3 linked regions of the Cricetulus griseus genome follow. The protein of the gene in region 1 purifies or fractionates together with the protein of each later gene. This does not show direct contact. Links are inferred from orthologs where the notes say so. Each region holds a gene or a part of one and is shown in the gene's direction. Other genes may lie near its edges.

Region 1 (4,254 bases):
CCTCGCCGGGAGGGCCCGGGACCAAGGAGTGTGAAGCGGCAAGCAGGTCCCAGAGTGCTCCAAGGTGAGGGCAAAGGACCATCGTGACCAAGATGGAGGTGGGCGCGCTGGGAGCGGCCACAGCTGGTCTCGGGACCTGTGTCCCTGGGAGGGAGCTTCTGGGCGATGAGGGTGGGGGCCAGGGTGGGGTGAGCCAAGTAGCTGCCCCAAGCTTTGAGACAGGAAGGGGTTGAGTGCAAAACAAGAAAAGAGCAAGTTCCCCTTTCCGTGGTTTCCGGGCTTGGTACCTGGGTGGGGGAGGAGGCCGGGTGGGGCACATCTTCCTGCCCCCACCTCTAGGTTGGGGTTTCTCCCAAATCTAGACTGCTTACTGGGGGGCTTATGTCCCCTTGTCTTGGAGACCTTCACTCATGCATTTCACCTGCTTTCTGTGTAGACCTGGGAGCCTCCTTAGGGTTAGCCGAGTGGGTGAGGGTTAAAGTCCCAGCAAGAAGCCCCCCCCCCCAAGGCAGAGCAGATGGGCGAGGCTGGGGAGGTGGGCAGAGAGGCCCTGGGCAGGGTGCTTTCCATAGGGCAGTTAAGACTCCTTCACTAGGGAGGTGGAGGGATTGGGCACAGGGATGGGGATCTAGAACACAAGCTGCCCCTGGGCTTCACTGGCTGGCTGCCCAGCCACAGTGGGTAACCATCTTAGCGGACCTCAGGGAAGTCATGTTGGGCATCCCCATCCTTGAAGGAAGCAGAGATGGTACAGAACACCTGCTTTTTCTGAGCGGAGGTTAAGAGGCAGAGGTGTGGGGAGATGTTGGGACCCAAGCCATTGCTGCTTCTTGTGGCCAGAAACCTGGGGAAGCCATCCTGCTACTTCATTCCCTGTTAGGCAAGCTGGCACACATCTTCCTGTGTGCCATCCCTGAGGGAAGGCTAGGGAGGAGCATCCCTGCCCTGCCTGTAGGAAGTGCTGTATGGCTGTGTGGGATGTAGGGTCTGGAAGAGGTCAGTAGGAGGGAACTCGCCTCCAGGGTGTCAGGACCATTGGAAAGGAGGCACTGTTTCAGCCAAGAGCCAGCCCCTAGGTGCTTACACTATATCAGGCTCTGTTGTAGGGGCTGATGGTGCAGGATTGAGGGTGTGGCTTCAAGTGTCTGGGAGTTTGACTGAAGAAAAACTGGGGAGGGTAAGCAGGCTGTCAGTCATGGAGAGTAGGTCAGAGTGCCTCAGTCATGATTCGGGAACCCTAAAAGCCAGGCTAAGGGTTGCTCTAGGGATAACAACATTTGGCCAGAATTGACTCTGAGAAAAGTTTATAATCTGTGTCCCTCAGGATGAGCCGGCAGGTGGTTCGCTCCAGCAAATTCCGACACGTGTTTGGACAGCCAGCCAAAGCTGACCAGTGCTATGAGGATGTGCGCGTCTCACAGACCACCTGGGACAGTGGCTTCTGTGCTGTCAACCCCAAGTTCATGGCTCTGATCTGTGAAGCCAGTGGGGGAGGGGCCTTCCTGGTGCTACCCCTAGGCAAGGTGAGCTTCTGGTACAGCAGCTCTCCTGGGGAGGTTTCTGCTGTCCACTGAGGCGGTGGGATCCTGAGTAGGCACCTGGTACCAAGCCTTCCGAGGGTCAGTGCTGTTACCTGTAGGATGGGACAGGGCCATTTGCTCCTTACGCTCTCTGGGGACAAAATGGGGGTGGGGGCAGGTTTCAGGGCAGGGCTGCTCCAGGGTTTTCAGGAGCGAGAACTCCAGGTCTGGCTTGTAAGGAACTGAGCCTCCGGGGACTCACCAAGTGTAAGCCCTGGCTCACAGGTGGAGATGAGGCAAAAGCCCTCTAAGCCCGTACTACCCTTTAGCCCCAGTACACTCCTGGGCTCCTCAGGGGGTGAAACAGGAAGGGGAGATGGGCCCCGAGTTGTTACCTTAAAAGGGCCGATGGAAGCAGAGGAGAAGAGGAAGTGGTTGTCGGGTGAAGCTCGGCCCTGCACCCTGCACTGTTCTCTACACAGGAAGCAGTTGGCCCTCGGAAGAGGCCATTTCCAAACCTCTGCTGCTGTCCAGAGGCTTGGGACAGATTAGGGTGCATCCCATAGATCCCCACCCTCTCCTCTTGGGGACCCTAACCCCATGCTTGTCCTGGGCCCAGGGCCTGTGCCACCCACAGATGACACCAAGATAGAGGGGGTCAGGATCTCATGCTGCTTGGTGCTAGCCTTCCTGGAACTGGGACAGAGGTCAAACCCTCCCCACCCCAGTGCTTCCAGGGACCCCACAGCCTTCCTGTGTGTCCCTTTGCAGGGGTGTGGGGAGGTTGGATTGGGTCTGGAAGTCAAAGCACCTCCATCAGAACCCTTGCTGTGTCCTCCAGACTGGACGAGTGGACAAAAATGTGCCCCTGGTTTGCGGCCACACCGCCCCTGTGCTAGACATCGCCTGGTGCCCACACAATGACAATGTCATTGCCAGTGGCTCTGAGGACTGCACGGTCATGGTGAGTTTTGGTAGGAATGTGGCTAGGAGGGGTCTTCAGGAAAAACCTGGTTTTTGAACCCGAGCCATTTGCCCCTTTCTGTAGGTGTGGGAGATCCCTGACGGAGGCCTGGTACTGCCCCTGCGGGAGCCTGTTGTCACCCTGGAGGGACACACCAAGCGGGTGGGCATCGTGGCCTGGCACCCCACAGCCCAGAATGTACTGCTCAGCGCAGGTGCTGTAAGGGTGTGTGTGTGGGGGGGGGCAGCTAGGAGCCTGACAGGAGGGCAAAAGCTCATAGTTCACCGCTGGCCAATTGTGCAGGTTGTGACAATGTGATCCTGGTGTGGGATGTGGGCACTGGGGCAGCTGTGCTGACACTCGGCCCAGATGTGCACCCGGACACGATCTACAGTGTGGACTGGAGTCGGGATGGTGGTCTCATCTGTACTTCCTGCCGTGACAAGCGTGTTCGCATCATTGAGCCTCGAAAAGGCACCATTGTGGCTGTAAGTTGCCATGAACCCTAAACCTTGACCCTTGGATGTTGCTCTCCCTGCACCCACCTAGGTTCTAGTCTCTTGGTGAGACTGTGAGAAGTTGACCCACCATATTTCCTTCCTCTCAGGAAAAGGACCGTCCTCATGAGGGAACTCGGCCAGTGCATGCTGTGTTTGTATCAGAAGGAAAGATTCTAACCACAGGTTTCAGCCGCATGAGCGAGCGGCAGGTGGCGCTGTGGGACACAGTGAGTGCAGAGAAAGGGAACCCTTTAGATTGGGAATCAAGGCTGGAGGCTAAGTCTCTGTCTTATCACTGAGGTGGGGAGTTTCCATTGCTACTGTGGGTCCTTTCCTACTTACTGTCCAGTGAGGACATGACATGGCCCAGCCTATTGCTACCCCCACCTGTCTCTACAGAAGCACCTGGAAGAGCCACTGTCCCTGCAGGAGTTGGACACCAGCAGCGGAGTTTTGCTGCCTTTTTTTGACCCTGACACCAACATTGTTTACCTCTGTGGCAAGGTACTCAGGAGGGCTGGGGGCAGGGAAGTGGGTAAGTGGCGTGGTGAACACAAAGGCTGGTGACCTGTGCTGGTACTGACTCTAGCCCATACCACCGACAGGGTGACAGCTCTATCCGGTATTTTGAGATCACTTCTGAGGCTCCGTTCCTGCACTATCTTTCCATGTTCAGTTCCAAGGAGTCTCAGCGTGGTATGGGCTACATGCCCAAACGTGGCCTGGAAGTGAATAAGTGTGAGATTGCCAGGTGAATGATCCCCTCCCCCTTTCTGACCAGACCTTCAGCACCCACTCATGCTGTATAGTATTACTCATCTTCCTGTTTCCACAGATTCTATAAGCTTCATGAGCGGAAATGTGAGCCCATTGCCATGACAGTGCCTAGAAAGGTGATGCTCCTATGCTCCTCCCTGGGCGCTAGGACAGGAACTGACCACGGGGGTTGTAGGGAGGGGCAGGAACATAAACACTCTCATGACCAGCCTTGGCCTTGCCCACAGTCGGACCTGTTCCAGGAGGACCTGTATCCACCTACGGCAGGACCTGACCCTGCCCTCACAGCTGAGGAGTGGCTGGGTGGTCGGGACGCTGGCCCCCTCCTCATCTCCCTCAAGGATGGCTATGTGCCCCCAAAGAGCCGTGAGCTGAGAGTCAACAGGGGCCTGGACAGTGTACGCAAGAGAGCCACACCAGAGGCCAGTGGCACACCTAGCTCGGTGAGGCTGGTGGGGAGTGACAGACTAGGGCAAAGGCTGTGTGGATATGC
Region 2 (3,646 bases), on another chromosome or scaffold:
AGCAGAAAGCAATGGAGTAATGTACACTTAAGTAGCAGGCATTCACACACAAACACATAATCACTTGGGTGAAATAAACATTTTTAAATTAAAAATATTTTACATATTATTTTTAATTAGAATTCATATACGCTTCATGTATTTAGCTATTTATGCTTCTTGTATTTCTTTTATTATACATAACTATATTTAGAGCCACTTATGATTGATCAAGGGAATTTAAAGAGGAAAAACTGCCTTCAAAATTAATGCTTTTGGCTTTGTTTTTAAATCATTAATGTGGAAATTTTCTACATTTTTAGATTCTTGATATTTAGCGCTAAAGTATGCAAGGCCAAGAAAAGCAATGGGGCAGGGACAGGGAAGTGGGGGAGATTTTTCTCTCTGTGATTCAACAGCCATGAATTGACTTTGTTGTTCAAGGTCAGAAGCCAAAGACCCTTACCCTTTGGAGCTCAAGCATGTCTGTGTTATGCCACATTTTTAAAGTGCTCTGTACTTTGACTTAGCCAAAATATTAGTACAATTATGAATATATAGTTTGTCAATAAATAATAAACACTTTGTGTCTGAAATTGTATCTTCTTTTTCTTTCACATTTTGTCTTTGTGTTTCTGTGTCAGAAATTCAACTAACATTTTCTTACCAAGCATGAGTATTTGTATTTCTCTGCTGATACCAGTTAGAATTCCTAAATGATGTATCTAGCTGGTAAAATCATCATTGAGTTTAATCCGATATTTCCAAAGTAATGTCCACTATAAAATGTCTACATCATATATTTACCTCATTTTAAATGCTTATTTTGCTATTCTACCTAATTTTCTTGTAACCTGGGTAGGAAGAATCTCTACTGCACTATAATTTTAACACTACTATCCTCGATTTGAATTGTGCAGTGCTGCTTAAATGCCTCAAGATTTCTCCAGTTCTTTTTATAAACTCCAAATCTTGTGCTATCTTTCCTTTCTTAGGACACAAACGAGTCTGCCAAACAAGAAGATATTTTGGAGTCTACGACAGATGCTGCGGAATGGAGTCTAGAAGTCGAGCGTGTACTACCGCAACTGAAAGTCACGATCAGGACTGACAATAAGGTATCAGAGAGAGAGAGAGCACATATGCTCCAAGAAACCACCTTATAAGGTGCTTTCAGGTTGAAAACACCACAGTTTTAAGGATGGGGAGGGGTCAGTATCCAGGATGCTGGCCTGTGATTTTTCTAATGTTGAAATTATAGACATGTGCCTCATTGCCTGATCTGTGCTTTATCTTACAAGGGTTTAACAAATTATTGAATGAATACTGTAATACAGTCTGAGAAGAAAAATCTTTGAAAGGATTTGAAACATATGCTATTTCACTTGGATTGAGGGATTTTTGTCAATAACTTCAATGTGATTTATTGAAAATCGTATTCTCTTGAGGTGAACTGGAATTCCGTGATGATACCAGTTGATTAGAATTAAAAGATATTTTAGAACTATTGCTTAGCATAATTTATTGTAACCTAGATGTTGTCTTAGATAATCTGTACTACAGTATATGCAACTGGAAGTTAAAGCCAGGGGCAGGATTTCTGCCTGTATTCCCAGCACTCAGATGGCTAAGGCAAGGGGGTCAAGAACTCCAGTCAATGTTAGGAAGACAAGAAATATATAATAAGACAAGGATATGGTAATTGAGAAAAGGAGCTGCTTCTGAATCAAGGTACTGTTTTGTTTCTGTTTTTGTTTTCTTTGGCCTATGGCATCATAAGTAATTACTTTGGTGCAAGCAAAAGCATATAGGAGAGCTGATGATCCAATTCTCACTAACAATTTTAATAATCTCTGCATAAAGAGCTTAAGAGTAATGTGTTTCCTTTTTTGTGGAAAAAAAATGCCAATTCTAGTTTTTGGATTTGTTTTGTTTTGTTTTGTTTTGTTTTCCCGAGACAGGGTTTCTCTGTGTAGCTTTGGAGCCTATCCTGGCCCTCGCTCTGGAGACCAGGCTGGTCTCAAACTCACAGAGATCTGCCTGTGTCTGCCTCCCGAGTACTGGGATTAAAGGCCTGAGCCACCAAGGCCTGGCCTAGTTTTAGGGTTTTATCAGAACAAATTCTCTTTATGAAATTAAAACTCACTATTGTTGTGATTCCAGATATAATAATATCTTAAAATAATTGTGTAGTTGGGAACAGTTGAATCCCAGAAGAGAGCAAATTTAGCTTGTTTACTTTCATTCTAAGTATACTCTTAGAGTCAGACATTTCATTTAGAACCTAATGGGTTTTGTGAGTGTATTTTAACTACAGTCATTGATTTCCACACACTAGAGATAACCAAGAAAGAAATGGTGTAAGCATAGCCTCTAACACCATATTGTTTTGCAGAACTATGTGTAGTTCAGATTCTAGAGTAGACCAACTCAGAATTTTGGATTTGTGAAGAATAAGTGTCCTTCTGATTTGGGAAATAATTAACTAATTTAGAATTGGATGCTGACTCTCACCACATGCTACAAGCTTAGGATTGACGATTGACTGTGCCAAATTATTTATACAATCAAGCATATTGATGTCTCTGGATTTGGGGGATATGAGGATATTAGTTTGAATTTTGATTTTTATGGTTAAAATATACTGATCAAAGCCATACTTGATTGCTTCATCAGAATTCTTTTCTGAGTCATTCGATCCTTATGGACAGTGTTTCCCCAGCATCCTTTTTTTTTTTTTTTCTTTTTCTTTGAGCCTTTCAGATGTACCCCCAGGGAAAGCATGGCATTAGGGTCAATATTTGTGTAGCTCAAGAAAAATGAAATTATACCATGACTGAAAAGCATAAAGAATCTAGTGACTGAAAAAATGGATTGTTATTTCTCAAAAAATTAAAAAAGGGTAACCTTTCTTCTCAGACCCATTGTCACTGATAGTTGCTACAGCTTCTGGTCACATCCTACTTTGCCTCTATTCTTGATCCTACCCAAACCATGGCCTTTATTTGGTCAATAACTTTCCCTTAGCACAGGAGACTTTGAGGCATTCAGAAATCCTTTTTATTTCATGATTGAGGGAAGAAAAAAGAAATTAAATATTTGAAGAATCAATGTGTTTTACTGGTTATGTATTAATATTTGAATAGATTAGAGATTTTGAGAGGCACATAATAAAGGGTCTCATTATTTAAACTCATTATAAATTTATTTTAAATGACCTTACATTAGTAGTAAATAAGTTTCATATTTGTCTGCCACAGGATAATTTTTTTTCACTTTTCCTCTCAAGCTAAGTTTATTACTTCTATGTTTTCTTGTAGAGAATTAAAAAAAAAGAGAGAATCTTTTGGGAATATGTTTTTTTTTTTACATATTACATTTGTGCCAACCAGAATCCATCATATGCCAATGTTTTCCTTTGTAATCTTTCCATAATGGTTTAGTCGGTTCTTTTTGCTAAAGCAGCATGTGTCTGTTATATGGCACTACTTGCTATTATTGTCTGTTTCCAAAGAATAGAAACTAATTTTAATATTAGCAGAAACAAAATAGAATTAGGAAAAAGAATATGTGCCAAAAATACAAATAATGTGGTGCTCGACTAAAGACAAAGGTCTCATTGGATGCTAATCTGAATACAATTAAAAAGCTTCAGGACAGAAAAGGA
Region 3 (3,646 bases), on another chromosome or scaffold:
TTGGGTCTGCTCTGTGGCAGGGATCCCAAACTGGCTCCTTTTCCTTGAATCTTCAGTTTGATTGTCCACAGTAATATGGTATATTTTCTTGTACCTACTACTAGTGAGAAAGTTGTTAACAAGGTCCATCTCCCAACTCCATACTGCTGTCCCTTTCTTATATACACTGGTGTTCCTAAGTAGCTTTCTGGCTGCAGATTTCTTTTTCCACGGATTAGGCTTGCCACTTTATCTTTTTTGTTTGTTTTTGGTTTTTTGAGACAGGTTTTCTCTGTGTAGCCTTGGCTGTCCTGGAGCTCATTTTATGAGGCTCATTTTATGAGGCTGTCCTCATAACTCACAGAGATCCACCTGCCTCTGCCTCCCAAGTCCTGGTATTATACCACTTCCCAGCTTGCTTCTTTATCTTATTGTTAAGGTTTCCTGCCAGAGGCTGTTGGTGTAATGGTTTGCTGTAAGCAAAAAGGGAACTGAAGTCATTTTTTTGTCTGTTCTTTCTTTTTTTTTAATTTATTTTTAGATTGTCTTATTTTATTTGTATGAATGTTTTACCTACATGCATGTCTGTGTACCACAAGTGTGCCTGTTGCCCCCAGAGTCCAGAAGAGGACATAGGCTTCCCTGGAACTGGAGTTACAGATTGTTGTGAGTTACCATGTGATTGCTGGGAATTGAACCCAGATCCTCTGGAAGAGCAGCAAGTGCTCTTTACTGCTGAACCATCTCTCCAGCCCCAACCAAGTTGGTCCTTTCAATAGTAAATGACCTTTGTCTGACTGGCTCCTGAGTATTGGGAGGACTTCGCCCTGTGCTCTCAGAGTATCAATGAGGAGACCCCACAGTACAGAAATGGCATGTGAATGGCCTGTCACTCTGGTTCCTATGTTGGCATGGAAAACTGCCAGGCCCTAGCTCTCCAAACTGTATGTCAGCAGTTATAGGGTGTGGGCACTCCCACTGGGATTCTTTCCATTGCTCTGCTGGGGATGCTGTGAAGGTAGAGCTGGGCCTGCTCTCCTGTATTCCTAGCAATGTGGTAGGTGATCAAGATTCTTGAGGTCTGAGAATCATCGTGTTACCCACTCTCCTCAGCCAGCGGCTCCATGGACTCATGCCTCATGATTTGGCACATGAAGCCCCAGTCACGTGCCTACCGCTTCACGGGCCACAAGGACGCTGTGACTTGTGTGAACTTCTCCCCATCAGGACACCTGCTTGCCTCAGGTTCCCGAGACAAGACTGTTCGAATCTGGATACCCAATGTGTGAGTTATGGGCCTCAAGGGACTAACAACGCTGAGGGACTTGGTATAAGAGCTGTCCCTCCTTGGGTCTTTACCCTGGCTTTGAGCTGGTCACAGTGGGACATGTGACCTCTGAGAGAGGCTAGCAGAGGGCTTCAGTTGGGGTTGTCTCCTTATGATGAAAGGACTCCCACAAGGGGAGAGGTGGGAGAGAAGCACTTTGTTTCTGTTGGGGAGGCTCTTGCTGTTCTGGGGAGACTGGGACAGTCAGGCCTAGAGAGGTAGAGAGAACTTTGGTGTACTTGTAGGTCCTCATGTCACTATTAGGAATCTCCTGAGTCTGGATATCTATCCTCATAGCAAAGGTGAGTCAACCGTGTTTCGAGCACACACGGCCACAGTGAGGAGTGTCCACTTCTGCAGTGATGGCCAATCGCTTTTGACAGCCTCTGACGACAAGACAGTCAAGGTGTGGTCAACTCACCGCCAGAGATTCCTGTTTTCCCTGAGCCAGCACATCAACTGGGTCCGCTGTGCCAGGTGAGCATTCCCTGTCTGGAGAACCTGAGAGGATGTAAGGGTTGTGGGGGACAGAGAGGAACTCTGAGTGTCAGCCTGTTTGGGGCAAGTTGTATAGCTTCCCTTTAGTGTCATAGCTCTGCTCCAGAGGAGAAGGGGTTACGGTGGCCAGAATACTAAGAAATCATGAAATTCAGAGTTAGGGAGCATGGAACTATCTTCCTCTGTGGATTCATGGAAGTTACTTATTCCCTAGGACAGAACCATTCTTTATTCTTGGAGGGTCCTGTTCTTAGAGGTCTTATGGTCAAGGACCTAAGAATGGAGGGGAGGGGCAGGGGGCAATCCAGAAAAGTGGGGTATTATGATCACAGTTGGCCTTTGACGGTAGGTTCCAGGACCTCCATGTGTTTTTGTTGGCCTGTTGTGTTTTGCTGATGTACTGATGTGGGGCTCCTGACCTCCTCCTCATTAGCAAGCAGTACCAGTGTGTATTGCTGCAGGCCATGTGCCTCCTGGGTGTTGTGTGTACTGTGCTGCTCGTGATTACTGTGGGCATTGGCAAGGATGGATCTCACCGAGGGAAGCCACTTGCCCAGGATCACTGAAGGTATTAGGGCAGCATGTGTAACCCTAGGTCATTCCTTCCTGGGTCAGGGAGCTGAGTCTAGTGGTGTACACCTATAAGTCTCAGGACTTGAGAGGCAGGAGGACTGCCACAGTTTGAGGCCAGCCTGATCTACATAGAGTGTTGCAGGCCAGCCAGGGCCCCATAGTGAGGCCCTGTGTCAAAACAACAATAACAATAACACAAAATGCCCAAAGAATCCCTAGATCAGGTATCAGCATGCTGGGAGAGGTGGCTGTAGAGAACATGGTGTCATATTCAAAGTGTCTGTTAGTAGTGTGACTTCTGCCCCATTCAACTTAGGTTCTCCCCTGATGGGCGGCTCATTGTGTCTGCCAGTGATGACAAGACTGTCAAGCTGTGGGACAAGACCAGTCGGGAGTGTATCCACTCATACTGCGAGCATGGCGGGTGAGTCCCTGTTGTTGTCTTCCATCTGCAGCTGCTCCTGTACAGGTCAGGGCATGCATGAGGAAGCCCAGTGGCCTTTAGGGACTGGGACTGTGGAGAGGGCAGCCCTACTTGCTGCTCTTTGGCTGACTTGCCTTTTGTAGAGCTTTGTGCTTTTCCTTTGCAGATAGACAGTTAAGTGTGGTCCCCACAGATAGAGAAACACTTCACCTAAAGTCATGCAATGATTTGGCCTCTTTTCCCCCCTTAAATTTCTAGTTCTCAGAATGCTAATGTGTCTCTCAGAGCATTGTATCAGCCCCCTAAACTGATTTGTCAATGAAAGCCTCCGGTTCTTGTAGCAGGCAGTGGCTCTTCCTTCTGTGCCACATCCTACAAGCAGGAGGAGCCTGCTTCTGAGCAGGGATTTAGCTTTTCTAAGTGTCTAAGTGGGCTGCAGCTTTACTCCTCATTCCTTAATGAGCAGGGGCCCCTTAGAGTGCCCAAGTGTCATGGATAGTGCATTGAAGGCTCTTGGCCTGTCTTTTGAAGAGAGATGGATGAGTAGTCCTTGTAGCCCAGGGGGACCTTCCCCACCCATGCCTTAGTTGGCAGGACCTGTCTTGGATCCAGCCCTGGCAAAAGGAACCCCAGAGCAATTTGACTGATTTGTTGGTTTGAAGATCACTGTTCCCACTTGTACTTAAAGCTCAGCAGTGGGCTGGCTGGGCATGTTACACACACTTGTAATCTCGGTACTGAGGAAGCGGGGTGGAAGACGAGTCTGGGCTACATAGTGAATAGTGAGCTGTTGTCTCAAAAACAAAGATAAAAAATAAAGAACCATAAGGAGAAGAGTGAGAGAG

What was found.
Region 2: the proteins of coronin-1A (region 1) and Ift57 purify together in Homo sapiens (affinity purification with mass spectrometry; 3 studies listed by BioGRID and IntAct, counting the BioPlex papers as one, with this or other methods). This does not show direct contact. The link is inferred for Cricetulus griseus from reciprocal best matches to the Homo sapiens genes CORO1A and IFT57.
Region 3: the proteins of coronin-1A (region 1) and Poc1a purify together in Homo sapiens (affinity purification with mass spectrometry; 3 studies listed by BioGRID and IntAct, counting the BioPlex papers as one, with this or other methods). This does not show direct contact. The link is inferred for Cricetulus griseus from reciprocal best matches to the Homo sapiens genes CORO1A and POC1A.

The regions. Positions count from the first base shown.
Region 1 is NC_048596.1:74,040,058-74,044,311, forward strand, and holds the start of coronin-1A, read left to right. Parts: upstream 1-1,325; coding exon 1,326-1,523; intron 1,524-2,361; coding exon 2,362-2,484; intron 2,485-2,568; coding exon 2,569-2,698; intron 2,699-2,787; coding exon 2,788-2,972; intron 2,973-3,091; coding exon 3,092-3,211; intron 3,212-3,383; coding exon 3,384-3,488; intron 3,489-3,589; coding exon 3,590-3,735; intron 3,736-3,819; coding exon 3,820-3,877; intron 3,878-3,988; coding exon 3,989-4,204; intron 4,205-4,254. UniProt on the Homo sapiens protein: May be a crucial component of the cytoskeleton of highly motile cells, functioning both in the invagination of large pieces of plasma membrane, as well as in forming protrusions of the plasma membrane involved in cell locomotion.
Region 2 is NC_048597.1:41,436,718-41,440,363, reverse strand, and holds part of Ift57 (intraflagellar transport protein 57 homolog), read left to right. Parts: intron 1-974; coding exon 975-1,097; intron 1,098-3,646. UniProt on the Homo sapiens protein: Required for the formation of cilia. Plays an indirect role in sonic hedgehog signaling, cilia being required for all activity of the hedgehog pathway.
Region 3 is NC_048597.1:214,487,341-214,490,986, forward strand, and holds part of Poc1a (POC1 centriolar protein homolog A), read left to right. Parts: intron 1-1,092; coding exon 1,093-1,264; intron 1,265-1,551; coding exon of another isoform or gene 1,552-1,603; coding exon 1,604-1,783; intron 1,784-2,693; coding exon 2,694-2,801; intron 2,802-3,646.